2 linked regions of the Lepisosteus oculatus genome follow. The protein of the gene in region 1 binds, or shares a complex with, the protein of each later gene. Links are inferred from orthologs where the notes say so. Each region holds a gene or a part of one and is shown on either strand. Other genes may lie near its edges. The genes, in order: afg2b and cinp.

Region 1 (8,049 bases):
AGAAATGTCTTGTTTTCATAAAAAAGAAGATATATTATTAAACTTGCTTTGTGTTTACGTGTTATTTCAGGTACGATTAAAAAATGAACTGCAATCTGACAGTGTGCACTAGGCGGTATTAATGTTTTTTCCCGCCTTGTCCCTGTAGTATTAGACATGCTTTCAGGGGGTCTCCTGAGTGGTCCACTAAAGGCCTGAGCACTATGATGTGCTCTATGACCACAGGTTTGAGCCTACGTCATGTCACTAGCCGACTGTGACCAGGATACCCAGCATGGGGGAAAGGATTAGAGGAGGCTCTCTGGGCTCTGAGTGTGGGCTGGCAGTAAGGGGCACGCCTCTCCTTCTATCGGTAAGGCACCTCCAGAAGGGAGCTGTGCTGCTGTGGCGTGTTAAAGGTCAGATGACTTGAAGGCAGGCAGGCTGAAGGACTCTGCCTGCTCTTCCTCATTCCCCCCCAAGGGTGGCGTCACTGAGTGTGTAGCTGTGAGCCGAGAGCTGAAACGCACACAACTGGCTACTGCAAATCGGGTGCGTATAAAAATTAATTGATGATTCAGATTTTTTTTTAAAAGACATACTTTCAGTAAATGTTTTTTTTTTGTCAGGATGTTCATACTATGTTGTGAGTGAAAAACAAAATCCTGTACCTGTTTCAATTTCAGTTTGACTTCCTCTAGGCCTCCAATCTGGTCCCAGGTGATGTGTTTAAAGTCAGTTAGTCCAATGCTGCTTCTGAGGCACGAGGGCTGAATTTTCTTCAGGGCTTGCAGGAAGTTCTCCATGCTTATCACGTGACACCCAGAGTCCTTCCAAAAGCAGAAGTAATTAAGTCTCCCTCATATCGGAGTTTGCACCTTAAACACCCAGTTAAACTCAGGCTACACTCTGGCACATCCCAGGTAATTCTGACTCCAGCCTCGCAAAACTGTGTGCTTAATTCACAGGAGTCAGGGAAGCCGTACCTGGGAGCTGTGGAGAATGGCTTGTAAAGCAGCTTCCCTGCAGAGTGCAGTCAGGTCAGCACCCACGCAGCCCGTCGTCATTTCTGCCAAAGCATTCATGTCCACGTCACTGGACAGAGACATTTTCGAACTCAACATGTCTAAAATGGATTTTCTTTGAAGAAGTGTTGGAACACCAATCACAATCTGTGGGGAATGAAGAAGGGATTCAGTTACTCATATAATTCTGAGAAGTAAACTAAACATAAGAAAAAACTACAGGGTTACTGTTATTTTTATAGATACAATATACACTATTAATACATCAGAATATATGTCATCATTAAAGAGAATATATAAGAAGATCTAGTACAACGCGGCAAACAAATATTATTATGTCTAAATGTTAAAACTGTCTAATAAAAACACTGCAATTTGAGAACCTACTGATGCTTAAACCTTCTTCACTGGTGTAGCAGCAGAAGAAGGAATGGGACTTGATTATACTTGACTGTGACCGGTTACTCCACCTCTCTGTCAAATCGCCCCGGTCTCCTCAGAGCAGGGTCTAAGGTGTCCGGCTGGTTAGTTGCCCCCACGACGATGAATCGTCCTTCGCTGCCGATGCCGTCCATCAACGTTAGGAGCTGAGCGACCAGGCGGTTCTCCGGCGCGCTGGAGGATCCGGCTCGCTTCGGGCACAGGGAATCGATTTCGTCGACGAACAGGACGCAGGGCCCCTCCTCCGACATGTCCTTTGCCCGACGGAACATCTTCCGTAAATTCTCCTCGCTCTCCCCTGGCCTTGAGCCGAGTATCACTGGGCCATTGATGGTAACCAAAGAGGCTCCCACTGCCGCGGCTACGCTCCTCACAAGCAAGGTCTTCCCGACCCCTGGGGGCCCGATGAGCAGCACTCCTCTGGGGCAGGAGAGACCAAGTCTGTGCAGTGACCTTGGGTAAAGAAGGGGCAACTTCAGGATCTCTGTCAGGGAATCGCAGACAGCGTCCATCCCTCCCAAGGGGATCTTGGAGGAATGCTGCAGCTGGGTCTTGTGCTGGCTGAGCGTCTTGACTTCGCCGACCTCTATGCTGGTTTTAGCAGTGATGAGGCCCGCTTCACTGCCGCAGGGGTGTATGTGCCGAACTTCAATGAGCTCAACCGGAGTTTCCAGGGAAGCTACTGGAACCACATGATCGGGGGAAACATACAAGCCACGGAGCAGGTCTTTCACCAGCTCAGGAAGCAGAGAAGGGGGCGAGCATTTCTTGAATTCCATGTGACGGACAATGACGTCGACTCTGATGCCCTTCAGTTTGGGGCAAACGATTTTCTTGATGTGGCTGGGACTCACAGCCAGGGGCCTGGGAATCCCACCAATGAGATCCTCCGTGATGCATTTGGTATCAAACTGCAAGAACCCTTCAGCCAGGTCGCTCCGAGGCCATGCTGTGCACAAGCAGTCACCATCAAGGACAGAAATGTGTACTGGCGTCCCGATGTTCAGTCCCAGAGACTCCATTAAACGGGGGCCAAGTCTGCACCTCTGTGTCCCTTGATCGACAGGGTCCAGAGGCAACACCTGTAGACTCATGTTTTCCATGCCTTTACCAACCGGGAGACCTGGGAGATCATAAGAAAGACTTGTGGCAACGAATTAACTGGTGGAAACACTGCCATTTTTGTTCTAGACCTTATTGAAGCCAAATGAAGTTACCATAAATTCTCTATTGCGATGTGACTCCTAATCCGTTTAAAACATAAATGTATCCACGAGTTGAATACATTTGCAGTTTGAAAGGATAATCTAAAAAAACACGTTTTTAGTAACAGGAAACGAATTAGTTTCCAAAATCATAGTCAGCTAACATTTTGACAGCACAGACTTGCTTTTCTACACAAAAAGGACTAACAGCTTCTTTACTTTCTTTACTTTTAGAACACTGGAAAATAAAATGCTATATAAATACATAGAAGTAAATTTTCTTACCCAAATCAAGCTCAGCACATGATATCCGACTACTCAATGACCCAAACAAACAGAAGCATGTGGCCGGCATCACAGATTGGCCAATTGTGGGCTTTCTCATGGTTTACACATTGCAATTCTTATTTAATTCTTATTCTTATTTATTCTTATTTAAAAACATTCTCTGTACAACTTCAGACATTTACCGATATTATACTTATTTTGAAGGTCATATTGTCTGATTCTGAATAAAAATGAACGTTTTTATACGTAAAGTTTTTTGTGTGTGGGTAATATAATTTCAGACAAAAATTCCGTGTTTTTTATGGTTGGCCAACAGAAATGTCATGACAACCAGAGCCAACTTTATTCGACGTTTTCAGTTTAATATTTAAAGTAGTTGTAGTTTATGACAAAAGAAAAATGTAAATACCTCATAAAATCAATTTGTTTTTGACACCATTTCCAATAAATCAGCGTGCTCTTAAAGCTGGATGCGTTGCAATTCAGGTAAGATTTTGTTTATTTAAAAAGTATTTTTTTGGTTTAAAGAAGAATTAACAAAAAAAAAAACACAAAAGGCAGCATCTCATATTTCCAACACCAATTTTACTTATACTATTTTTATCAGGGTTTCTCAAATTATAATGTGTGACCATATATTTCAAAGACCACTGGCGCCACCTTGTGCTTGCAATGCGCTTTTCCTTCATGGGATAATTATTTATCTGGCCCTTTTGATTCACATGAAGTGTTATACTCTTTTTCGAAACTGTACCGCTTACACTGAACTCCACAAGCGGTTAAAACATACCCTGATACCTGGATAACTGGAACACCTTTAAATTTAAAGGTGTTATGTGGTTTATAAAAAAATGCCTTTTGTTTCCAAGCTTCAATGTTTGCTGCATCTCTTTGATAACAGCTTGTTGCCCGCTATTTTAAAAAGAATTTAATAAATACAGATTCACTAAAAATCTCGCTCTTAATAGTCAAGTAAGTGAGCAAAATTCAGAAGTGAATCAGCACTTTTCACCATATTCTAGCAATAGGACAAACAACTGAAAAATAGAATGAGTATGAGGTTCCACTATACATCCATTGCTTCTCAGTTCTCGCTATGTAACATCCACTTTGCTATAATTCGGGAGTGTCAAACTTAATTCCTGGAGTATTCCTGGAGCTTAGTATCTCGAGGTTTTAAAGTCCAACCTGAATAGCCACGAATTAACCTTTTTTTTTTAATTAGGACAGCATAGTGGTGTAGTAGTTCAGGTGGGTAGCTGCGTCAGCATGTGTAGGCTGCAAAGGAACAAGTAATAGGTTTATTCCATGCTGAAAAAAAGAAGAAAGAGAACACAACGTTTGAAACGTTGTGTTCTCTTTCTTTTTTTTCAGCATGGAATAAACCTATAGTGGTGTAGTGTTTAGTATTGCTGTAGTTCTTGTAGTGTTAGGGGCCTAGACTCTCTGTGTGGTATTTACAGTATATGTTCCTCCCATATTCACATGGGTTTCCTCCCACAGTCCAAACACATGCTACTGGGTTAATTGGAAATATTCTGGAAAAATTTGGCCCAGGAGTGAGTTAGTGTATGTTTGTGTCTGTGTGTGCCCTGTAGTGGACTGTCATCCCGTCCAGGATGTCCCTGCCTTGTGCCCATTGCTTGCCATGATAGGATAAAGCCAGTATAAGATGGATGGATAGATGTTCTTAAATAGACATATAGGCCTAAAACATTCCTCTTTAGGTCTTTTACAATTTACAATGAAAAATGCACTTCAGTAAAAGTAGTTAGCTATAAATCACCTTCATGCCTGTTTATCAGTATTAACAATTATGCATTCATTAAATAATTAGACCAGCTATGTAACTGAGAACCAGACCAAAAACCAAGAGGCACCAAGCCCTCCAAGAACTGGGTTTTAGTTCAAAGAAAAACCAAGGCACTGAGAAATCCTACACTACACTTTATCTGGACCATTTAGAGCAATTATTCCAGTACAAAAGGCTACCGAGAAGGATAATGAGAAAACTAGGACTAAGAAAAATGTCCACCAAAGTGATACAATGCTGTCAACACCCTTTTACAGCCACACTGGAAAATGTTATCAGAGGAATAACGTACCCTACTAGGGTACAATTACAAATTCAAGAGCTGCATAAACTCATAACAAAGTGTGTCTGAAAAATGGCATCAAAAGAAAAAGTAAAATGTTTCTTTTACACAAGTTAAAATAAATGGCATCCACGTATGAAGAAGCCTATGATTATGTACAGTATATTTGTGTCAGCTTACATGGTGACTGAAAACTAAATGTCGCAAAGGAAGAGAACAGTCATACTAGACTGCAGCTCTTTTATGAGATGACGTATGATTCTAATGGAGGAACTGTCCAGCTAAGAATGGCTCTGCCATGGTTATTTTAATTAGAACTGACAGCAAGCCTGATTGAAACTCTAGGAACTGCCTTTCTTAGTTGACATTACAATGCCATGGTGTGCATGGATGTGTAATAACAAAAGAGCTTATACTGTCTTTAATTACAGCTAATTAAGTATCTGCTGTGATACAGAACAGTTCATGCTTTCCAGATTTTTAGAACCACCGTGCAAAAAAATAGAAAAAAACATTTGTTTAAATTTGCAGTCAGTACAGATGATTTGTCTGCTTTGCTTCTGACAAAGTTTTAAGCTAAGGCCAGGCTTACATTACTGCCAAACACCAACATTCTGGAGCAATGTCTTAGGCTTAGTCCTTGATTACCAAGACCCTGTTTCTTCTGCTGATGAATAGGCCTATATTTACACTCTCAAGAACTGTGTTGCTGTGTTTTAGCTTGTCTGATGAGCTCCATCAGCTTGAATGATTCTTTTCTTGATTGTAATTGTGCTCCATGCCATTTGATTAATTTTATTCAGACTGCATTCTGTTTGTAAAAGAGACATTTTTTTTCACTGCAGTATACTTCAGATAAATCAACCTCCTCAAGTAATTATTGGTGATCAAACACCTACTGAAACATTGCAATGTAGGTTGAGAACAACAGTTAATTTCCATGTTGACTGGTAAATCCTTACATCCCCACAAATGTACTGCCTAAAGTCCTCCTTTGTTTTAATTCTGTTATTTGCCTTTGGGTAAAATATTTTAGTGTGTCACAGAAAGCAATATTATAAATTGAGAGGTGTTTTCCTTTGATCCTGACACTAAAGCTTTTACAATTTGATGATCATTTGACTAATCAGCAAAGGTTTTTTGTTTTCATTCTGAATAAGCAGACCAGAGATAACTCTCTAACAGCTGTGGACCTGTGGACCTGTGGACATGTGGACCTAAAATTGGCATTCTTGTGATGGTCAGTATCCATCAATGAAGCCTTCTTTACAAGGGGCATGTTGTAGTTGTATTGTAATATGCATTTAACAATGAAATGCTTTGTTGATGCATGGTTAAGACTCAGTCCTTTGATATGTTTCAAGGTTCATCAAACAAGGCCAAAAGTACTGGCGGTGGTTCCCATGGAAACCAGGCTGATTCCACCTCACAATTGCTACATGCGTTCAGTGCAGTGTTCCAAGGCAAAATGCTCTGTAAACAACAGGCTGGATGTTTGCATTGATAGGCTATGTGTCTTGACCTTACAGGTGAGTGGCACTGTTGTAAACATCGTGTTCTGCACATTCTCCAGACAGTTACCTGTCCACAGCCAGGGTCAATAACTGTTCTGGTGCGAACCGGCTGAAAGAGCCGTCTGAAGGTTTTCGACCAAGACAGTGCGGTGTGAAAAAAAAACCTTCAGAAGCCTGTCTTCCTGCAAAATGTGTTTTGGTTAGAAAGCAGCAGAGAAACACACAAGACTAAAGCTAATTAGAGGGAAGAAGTGGAGAATAAACAGGCGCCAGGTGATTTGAAGACTTAATTATGAGCCCAGTGACAGGAGAACTGAAGCTGTGAGAGAACAGAAGTTCTCGGAGCAGGTGAGGCAGCTGGGGAAGATCCATGGAAATCTTTCATGTTGGAAGCGACTCCAAAGTGACAGCGTGTCGGCTACAGCTCGGGAGGAGAGCAAGATTTTTTTTTCTTCGAGGAGAGATTACAAACTGCTGAGTGGGTTTTAATGTTTCCATTAAGTTATGTAGCTCTCCCCGCAAAGTTAAAAAAAATATATTTTAACGGTTCGCTGTTAAAAACTGTGCATTATCTTCGTCGGTTTCTAAGAGATAACAGTGTCGCGGATGACTAATTTGATTTTATAGCGCTGAAGCAGATCGCCGAGGGAGAATTGATCAGAATGCAGTTACGTAGAAACACCACCTAACAGTTAGACAATATCGTTTAATTCATACATGCATACGGTTCCAGAATAGTTGCACGGCTACTAACGCAGTAGACGGTAAAGCCCATCCATAATATGCCATATAATGTTCTTGTTCTTAATTTTGACTGGAAACACATCTTTCTATACACTGTGGTATACAGTAATTGCATAAATTGTAACGAAAGGTAGTTAATTATTGTGAGAATAAGTAGTGATTTTATATTATTTTAAAGTCTCAAAATAACCCCCAAGAGGGTATACTGGTACTTTCTATGTGAATAGCTGGGAACACAATCCAGAGTTATATACACGGTTACAGAGGTAGTCTGCTCTAATTGCATGACTTTGTAACCAGCCTTATACTTCTTTCGTAAGCAACCTGCGCACAAAAACGAAAGAGACCGTCTTTCCTCCAGTTTTTCTCCAACTGTACAGAATAATCAGATTACACCTAGGAATTCATTTTTCTTTAATGAGGGCGACGGACGTTGAGAAGCGAATTGCAACATCGAGGATCGAGACGCCTGTGAGAGACCAGCGCTGGGGAAGATTGCGCGATAGTGCACTTCCCACTGTGTGACAAGCTCGCAGCTCCACCCAGACTGAGCGCTGTCGGCTGGAGTGCCTTGCATAACGGGCTGGTTCTTCGTGAAGTCTTTTTTCGTGTACGGATGATGTAATTCATTAAACGCAACTGTGTAAGCATATCTTGTATGTTTAGCAGCAACGTTCAGTGTTTGCTACTCAGAAACGTGCAATTTTCGCAGCTGTACCTCTGATACTGCATTGTAGGTTTGGTCATATCGCAACCA
Region 2 (8,055 bases), on another chromosome or scaffold:
ACATCTCTACCAACACCTCGTCTTCCTGAAGATAACTGCTGGGAACACTGAGGAAACAGCCTTGATCACTATGACTGAACACAGGGTCTTCACAAAAGGAATACCCCCCCCCCATGCAATGGACTAAGCATTTTTCTTTCAAATATAACCAAGGTTACATGCCAATTAGCTACACCTTTCCACATGAGGCATGATATTAACATCTGTACTTTCTATACAGAAGGCCAGCCTATACTTCCTATCAATAAAACAGTTAGGAATCAACACAATAACTAGCATACTGCAGTTTTCTATAACTGCAAGCGCAACAAAGTCTGTGGTTTTGCAACCCACAATAAGTGTTAATTTTACTCAAGAATCCATACCCTTTCCTGGGCTTTGTTCCAACCTGCTGGACTGCCTTCTCTTCGGTGTAGAAGAGCAGGCTGTGCTGGTGTGTGGATACGAGCAGAACTTTCTGGCTGTACTCCAGCTGTACGATGGCAGACTGCTCCTCCAGCAGCACGCTGGGGTTGCACACACCCTGCACACGCAGAGGAGCCAGAGAGAGACAGGGCTCGATTAGGCATTAGGCGAGCCTGCACCAGGTGCCTACAGCAGAGCAGCACGCAGCATGCTCTGAAGGAATAAGAGGAGACAAACTGACCAGGCTTCATACACCCAGTGCTGTTTAAACAACCAGACTGGGATCAGCAAATGAACGGGAGCTGTACCTGGTCCAAATCGATGGCAGAATAGACAACTTTCCCTTTGTCATCCCCGGAGAACAATTTCATTCCGTTTGCACTCCAGGCCAGGGCTGTCACTGTGCTCTTGTGAAGTCCAACTACGTCAAAGCGCCGCAGCTGTGGGTCAGAGAGGGAAATCACAGGCACGCCGACGCAGCAGTGTCATGCCCACGAACACTGTGGGAACTCTCAAAGTCTTCAGCACACTGGTCCTTCAGAAAGGCTTATCCAGCTCACTTTCAATAAATGAATGCACACTATGCCAAATAATGTGGCAAATTAACCCAAACTCACATAAAAAAGCCACAAAAAGTTCAGAAGCACCATGAATGGTTAGTTGCATTGACCGTGTGTTCATTTCATTCCTCGCCTTGATTTCACGGCTCATATTTTAGCCTGTGGACCCAATTTGAAAAGATATACCCTTAATCATCAAATGAAGAGGCTAAGTTTTAAAAAAAAGAAACATGCATAAGAAGCCATGACTACTCCATGAAGAGTTACTGCAATCTTGAGATATAAACCTTCACGAACCAGCCCACATCATATTATTACCAAAAGGCACCTCAATTTAAAAGGGCAACATGATACAGACTAACACTGTATCACTACTAAGCCAATGAGGCAACAACATACCCAAGAAGTAAAGTAAGATCAGTAAGATAACTAAAATCACTTTATTAGCCATATACAATTTCTTGCATTAGGAATTTCTCTTTTCACATACCCCAGCTTCCTCTCCATGAGACACACAGGCACACAGACGGGGAGAGAGAAGATGGAGGTCAGAGCGCAGGGTCAGCCATTTATACGGCACCCCTGGAGCAGCTGGGGTTAAGGGCCTTGCTCAGGGTCCCAACGGAGTAGGATTCCTCTGCCAGCCGTGGGATTCGAACTGGCAACCTTGCAGCCACAGGCGCAGATCCTTAGCCACAGTGCCTCCGCTCCGCCCAGCAACACTATACTCAGCATGCTTTGCACAGATATTACCATTTCAATTACCACTCTCTGTCATTCACTCATGACTGATGGAGAAGCCGGGGTGCTGAAGTGTTATTGAGCACTTGGCAGTGTACTGACCTGCTTGTTCCTCCCGGGAAGAGGAGAGACGAGCTGGAAGAGGGCCACTCTGCCCGAGGCCGTGCCCACTGCCACCAGGTCATCGAAACAGCTCAGGAGCTTCACGGAGGTGATGGCCTCGGTCTTGCCCTGCACGGACACGCCACCACACTGAGACAGTGGAAAGTAACCTCTCTCCTGTTCAAACTGCTTCACTACCCACGCGAGTCAGCATTACACCGATGCTATAATATGTAAGACACATAGGCTTGAAAACAACTGTCCATGGGACGCGTTTCCAAAGAGTGAAACTCTTAGCTCAATTAACTAATTAAAGGACTGGGGGAATGAGAACCGAAAGACCTTCAAGTCTCCTGGGCCTGTAGTTGAAAAAGCCCAGAGGGCCTGTGGCGTATGTAATCCCCAACCTGCTGTGAGAGAAAGCTTCAGTGCCCCCTAGTGGACAATCATAGGGAACAATTCAACAGCAGCAGATGTTCAGAGCCAACCTGGCCTCATGTCAATTTGATTTTTAAGTGCATTACTTGACAAGGTGCACCAACAGCTGACCAGCAGCCCAAAAAGAACTATTCCCTTTATAATTTAACACTTAGTCCCACTAAATCATTAATCTTCCAGTGGATACGCCAGTTTAACAATCTATGCAATACAGTACAAGTCATGGTCTGCAATACAGATGGACCTCACCTGCCGCACTTTGTGGGTGAGAGGGTTAGGTAGAGCCCAGGGAAGGGAATCTGTCACTTTGAAGACAAAGCAACGCAAAGTATTCAAACAAACGGGACGATCATAGTGCCGTCGGGACCTCTGGTAATTACACGCCCAGCGCGCCGTACCTCGAGGTTATACTTATTCATCTGGTTGAGCCGCCGGCAGTAGAGGTAGAGCATGCCAATGCTGCTGCCCACGGCGATGTAGTCACTGCTGGCATCCAGCGCGGTGAGGTAGACCAGCACCGAGCGAAACCCCCTCTGCACCTTGGCGGGGATGGTGTTCAGCAGGTAATAGAGGGGGCAGAACTCCTTCAGGGCGGCAGGCGAGGCCTGGGCAGCCATGGCGGGGGGTCAGGGTGGCGCCGGAGCAGACGCTGAGAGAGGGGCAGAGGAGGGCGAGAGGCTGGGAGGGAGTGCCGACACACACCTGATAAAGACAGACCTATATCTCGGTCGCAGAAGTCCACAAATTAGGTAATTGCTGTATTCACTCATTTCCAAAATCTTCTGTGAACGAATAACACAATTAAGAAACTCCTTGCATCCATTTATCTAGCAGAAATTAGACTTCATGAGGCTACTTGTCAGATATGCAACACTGCAGTCATGGGTTTCAATTACATTTGTGAGTGCTCAGATTGCAGCACTGAACAGTTCTGGTCCGTTCCCTGAAAAATAACAATCATCCCTGTTTATTCACAAACTACATGAACATCCCAGTTCATTCACTCCTTCGGGTTATTTACATCTAGACAAACAATAAAACAAATTCAGCATTGATTTATATATATATGTATTTTAAGACTTAATATTGTTCATACTATTACAGTTAAGTGAAAATGAAAATACAGTACCTTTATAAGGCAAAAGAACACAGATGTTGCACAGATTATTAATTCAAACAAACGGTTTTGTTTATATGCTTTTAAAATGGTACATATACATATAAAAGAAAGGACACGAAAATCAGAGCTTGGAAAAACAAGAAAAAAGTATTTGATCATACTCACAGAATCAGCAATGCACAGGTATTGGGTTCCAGAAGGACACCATTTAGGCAAGTTTTGGAAATCCTGAAACCTGACAATTATTTCAAATGTATTACCATGCAAAACCCTGCAGTATTGCACACGAGGCGCCATGCATACATTGTGCACAGATAACTGAACTCTTAGCCCGTCTTTACCAACTGCTTTGAAATACACTTAACACAATTAAGGTTATTATGTTAGGCCTATATTTTAATTAGAGACGTTATACATCCCCACTACTTAATGTATAATAATGTTTGTCGACTACGCAATTTGATAAAAAGTCCAAACAAAATGACCCGCGAAAAACCCTTTAGCCTTTTCTACTTCGCCTTATTATGTGTACAAGGCGACACTAAATAGAAGAAAATTGAAGACAATTCCCTAAAACTGTCACTCAATTAGAGTTATCCAGCGGCTTGCCTTCTGAAATCTCGTTATCTCCTCTACATAAGCAGAACAAACCCAAACCAAGTTTCAGGCGTTATTCTGTAACTGAGGCCATCACTAGTCCTGTCTAGCCAGTTATTTCTATCATTATGAAAACACGCTCAGAAGGCTCACAGCAACACAAACAACTGGGGGTTTATCATCACGACGCATTTTCAAAAATAAGATCGCCGACGCCCAGAACTGAAAAGTCACTGCAAATACAGTGAATTAGTGGCAGATTACGGACTGTGGTACCACCAAGACACCAAGCACAGCACAATGCACACAGCAGACGGTCCGTTTCATATTGAAGGGTGACAACGAGCGTAATGAAAGAAGATGCAGCTAGCCACAGAGTATATTCGTGAGAGGAAAAGCATTCACAACGCCGTTTCCTTACAATAGCAAAACAGAAATTTGTCGAACACAGTCTGGGAGCCTCTAAAAATTAAACGCCCAGTACTGTACCATTAACAAAGGCCGGATTTCTGTACCTTTCAATTCCGTTTTTAATGTACGTTGTATTACTCTTTTGGTTTAAAAAATAATATTAAACAAAGCCAAACACGCTGCTTTCCTAGTGTAGTCACTGAACAGTGACAGGGCTATGTTAGCAGAATACGCTCCAAGAAAACGAAATTATCTCTTACTTACGTTGCAACGCGAACATTACATTGGATACCTTTTCTCTCTCTCTTTCTGTAAATCAGCCAATTTAATTGTGTTCTGTACATTCATTTTATGAACTGTAAACAAAAAAAGCAGCAGTTAAATTCTTTTTTTTTTTTGTTGTTACCAGAAAGCCCAGTCGCTCTGTTTTAACAAGGCATCAACATCACAGGTTCGACTGGTTGACATTTGACATCAGGAAGTGACGTAAACTACGTCTTCAATATGGCCGCCTCCTACAGTAAACATGCTTGATCTTACATCGGGGATAAGCATTGCAATTTATTTATGTATTACGTCTGAAAATTACTGACATGGAAGGTTAGTTTTTTTTATAGTGCGTGAGTTCGGAGTCTGTCAAAGAGTTATACAAAGTAGTTGTCTGAAATAACCACAAACCTTTTTATGTTCTACTCGAGAGTTCATGCCGATTTATGTACTTAAGAGTTTTAGTTAATTGAATATCAGTGAAAACATGTAAATACGAGAGCAAGCAAAACCGATTATTTCGTCAGATATATCTAAATGTGGTTCAGATACAGTTTTCTTTTAGATATTTACTATGAATCCGATTAAATCGATTTCTGTTTTAAGTTTCAGTGAACAGTTCAGGGAATGCAGCATCTATTAGAAGACCTGTTTCAACTAACAGTGCAAGAAAGATAAAGGACAATGCTGCTGACTGGCACAACTTCATTCTGAAATGGGATCGATTAAATGATGAAGGTTTTACAATTGCAAACAAAATTGTCAACCTGAAACTAAGCAAAATGTAAGTATTATTCTACATGCATTTGGCATCTCCAATAGAGAGTGGTGCATTGCCATTTCATTGTTATTGCCCATTAGCTTAAGAAAATTTACTTTCCAGTGTGAAAATTGAAATTGAGATCCATAAATTAATTTTGATTTTGTAAGAAAAGTGACGTGTAACAGGTACTGTATAAGGAGCATATATGAAAATAATCATACCCTTAATTTCTAGTAATATGTACTTTTAGTCTAGTGTTTGTATAGTATTGTTTATATAAACTATTATTCTAGTAATAAAAAACACCTCCACTTTTACTACCCTGTCTGCTTTTACTAGAACAGAAAATGACTCAGAATTTAAACTGGAGTGTGATGGTTCAGCTGTCTCCCCAAGATCTGCTACTGCAACCGAACCAAACCAGGAACTGCAGGACGAATGCACTGAGCTGTTGAGGATCTTGGAGAAAATGGTCTGTAAGAGCAATAATATTGCAGTCTTGTCAGAATTGCATTTTCATGTACATCCCTCAAAGTGGACCGCTACGTTTTGTACATTATATCAGAACTTACATTGCACGTAGATTTAGCTCGGGTCCCTGAGTAAATATATGCAAAACTATATAACTCTGAAACATACACTAATTTCTAAGAAAACATGATAAAAGTGTGAACACAGGATTCATTTTGTTCCCATTTATGGCCAGACTCACCTTGTATCAAAAATGAGGAAGCTGTCATCTACCGTTAAAGGCATATGTGCACTGGAAACATTTCACCATGGAGATGCCGGAAGAGAAAGCCCTTTGTTTCATACTTGGCCGACGGCACAGTTTGGTGAGTAAAGATGAAATCGGTACTGAATATATGAGGGATATGCTGTTGAACCAAGCTAGACCAAATTACTTCATCTTGTAAAAATGTAAAATACTTGCAGAAAAATGTTTTTATAGAATAGGTTTCTGACAATTTTTTACTGTTCACTTACTTTTAATTGTGCAAACAAGAAAGGTTACAATCACAAGCTGGCTTTTTGGCTGACCTAGCCTCTTTTGTAGTTAAGACTTAACTAGTTCGAGTTAACTTGAAGTTCCGGGATGCCCCTTTTACCGTGTGCCTTTACAAAGCAAAGATGTTTATAAGGTTCTACAGCTTGTTTTTTGTCATCAAACGTCAAGTGTTACTAAAAGTGGGCAGCACGGTGGAGTAGTGGTTAGCAGCACTGAGCCCCGAGTTCAGTTCCTGGGGTGCGATCTGCATGGAGTTTGTATGTTCTCCCTGGGATTTCTATGCGGGTTTCTCCCCACAGTCCAAACACATCCAAGCTTATGGAACGTTGCCCCTGGTGTGAGTGTATGCATGTCTGCGAGTCCTCTCCGGGTTGTGTCCTTCCTTGAGCCCTTCGCTTGCCGGGAGAGGCTCTGGCTTCCCCACGACCCTGTATTGGATAAAGCCGTTAAAAACCATATAGTTTCTTAATGTTGTGTTCCGTTTTCATGTGTGCTTTCTCAATAAAGCGTTAAAAGTGCAAGTTTAAGAGATCCAGTGCGTGCAAATAAAAGAAAAAAAAACAAATACTGGCAGCATTATTTACACTTGAGGTTCTCCTGTTTTACTCTCCTGTGCTGCCTTGCCAAGCTCCTGAAACCGTGGGGTGAAAACTGAATTGATTTTTACATGAGCAGATGTAAATGTACTGTGCAATAAATCCAGCACCATCAGGCTTTCACTCTTCAGGCCTGAAAAAGAAGCAGTGCTTCACAAAACAATTCAAAAGGCTGCAGTGGAAGTTAAAATCAAGAAACAGAATAATCTGGAACAGTAATTATAAAAGTGTCCATCAAGACCCACTGAATGCTGTAAAAGTTTTTTTTTTCCCCCCTCTCTCTAGATGACGTCTCCTCAAAACTTTTGGAATCTTATGAGCAAGAACTGACCCTTAAAGAAACAATAGTGCAAGAAATTGCACACACAACTGACCGTAGTCTTTCCCTGGTTCATCTGTCAGCCTGGCTTCATCAGCCATACATTGAGGACAACACCAAGGTTCTTTTAGAAAGCATGCTGCTGGAGACTGGGCATAGACCACTGTGAAGCAAACTGGAGGACTTATCTTAAATGTCATCAGTTTCAGATGAAAAACTGCATTCTTTCTCCTTTGGCAGAGAAATGAGTATATACTACTTCATTTTGAATTGTTTGTCCAATTTTATGCGATATTAGGGTGAAGTGACATGGGAAGCTCACAGAGAATTAAATATAGCACAGTAACAAGGCAATTCTACCTGAATATGTGTATAAACAAATACTTTTGATGAACATTTCTCTTGAAACCTTGAAAGAAGTTAGACTGCTTGATCTCATGTTCAGGGCCCTCATCCTTTTAAAAGCTCAGAAAAGATATTTATTATAATGGAAACCAAAACGTCACAAGTTAAGAGTAAAGCAATAACACTGCTTTTATATAAGCGACAGCATATAAACTTCAAATATTAGGAATTGTTCCTGTTAATGTCTTAAAATATGCACACCATCTTTTAATTAAAATGGAAGGGTGAACACAAACATCCATAACCAGCTAAGACTTTTTTTTTATTTCACAGTTTAATTTTAAGTATGAAGATAAATAGTTGTGGGAAAATATATTAGGAA

What was found.
Region 2: afg2b (region 1) and cinp share a complex: the UniProt entries of both Homo sapiens proteins name them as parts of the 55LCC heterohexameric ATPase complex. The link is inferred for Lepisosteus oculatus from reciprocal best matches to the Homo sapiens genes AFG2B and CINP.

Annotation. Positions count from the first base shown.
Region 1 is NC_090700.1:43,670,492-43,678,540, forward strand, and holds the start of afg2b (ATPase family gene 2 protein homolog B), read right to left. Parts: upstream 3,012-8,049; 5' UTR 3,006-3,011; coding exon 2,936-3,005; intron 2,569-2,935; coding exon 1,475-2,568; intron 1,152-1,474; coding exon 966-1,151; intron 810-965; coding exon 651-809; intron 1-650. UniProt on the Homo sapiens protein: ATP-dependent chaperone part of the 55LCC heterohexameric ATPase complex which is chromatin-associated and promotes replisome proteostasis to maintain replication fork progression and genome stability.
Region 2 is NC_090703.1:6,422,038-6,430,092, reverse strand, and holds cinp (cyclin-dependent kinase 2-interacting protein), read left to right. Parts: upstream 1-4,861; 5' UTR 4,862-4,967; coding exon 4,968-4,974; intron 4,975-5,247; coding exon 5,248-5,425; intron 5,426-5,743; coding exon 5,744-5,876; intron 5,877-6,110; coding exon 6,111-6,240; intron 6,241-7,294; coding exon 7,295-7,497; 3' UTR 7,498-7,669; downstream 7,670-8,055. Other genes in the region: tecpr2 (tectonin beta-propeller repeat-containing protein 2), read right to left, coding at 366-523, 714-845, 1,809-1,937, 2,645-2,863. UniProt on the Homo sapiens protein: Component of the DNA replication complex, which interacts with two kinases, CDK2 and CDC7, thereby providing a functional and physical link between CDK2 and CDC7 during firing of the origins of replication.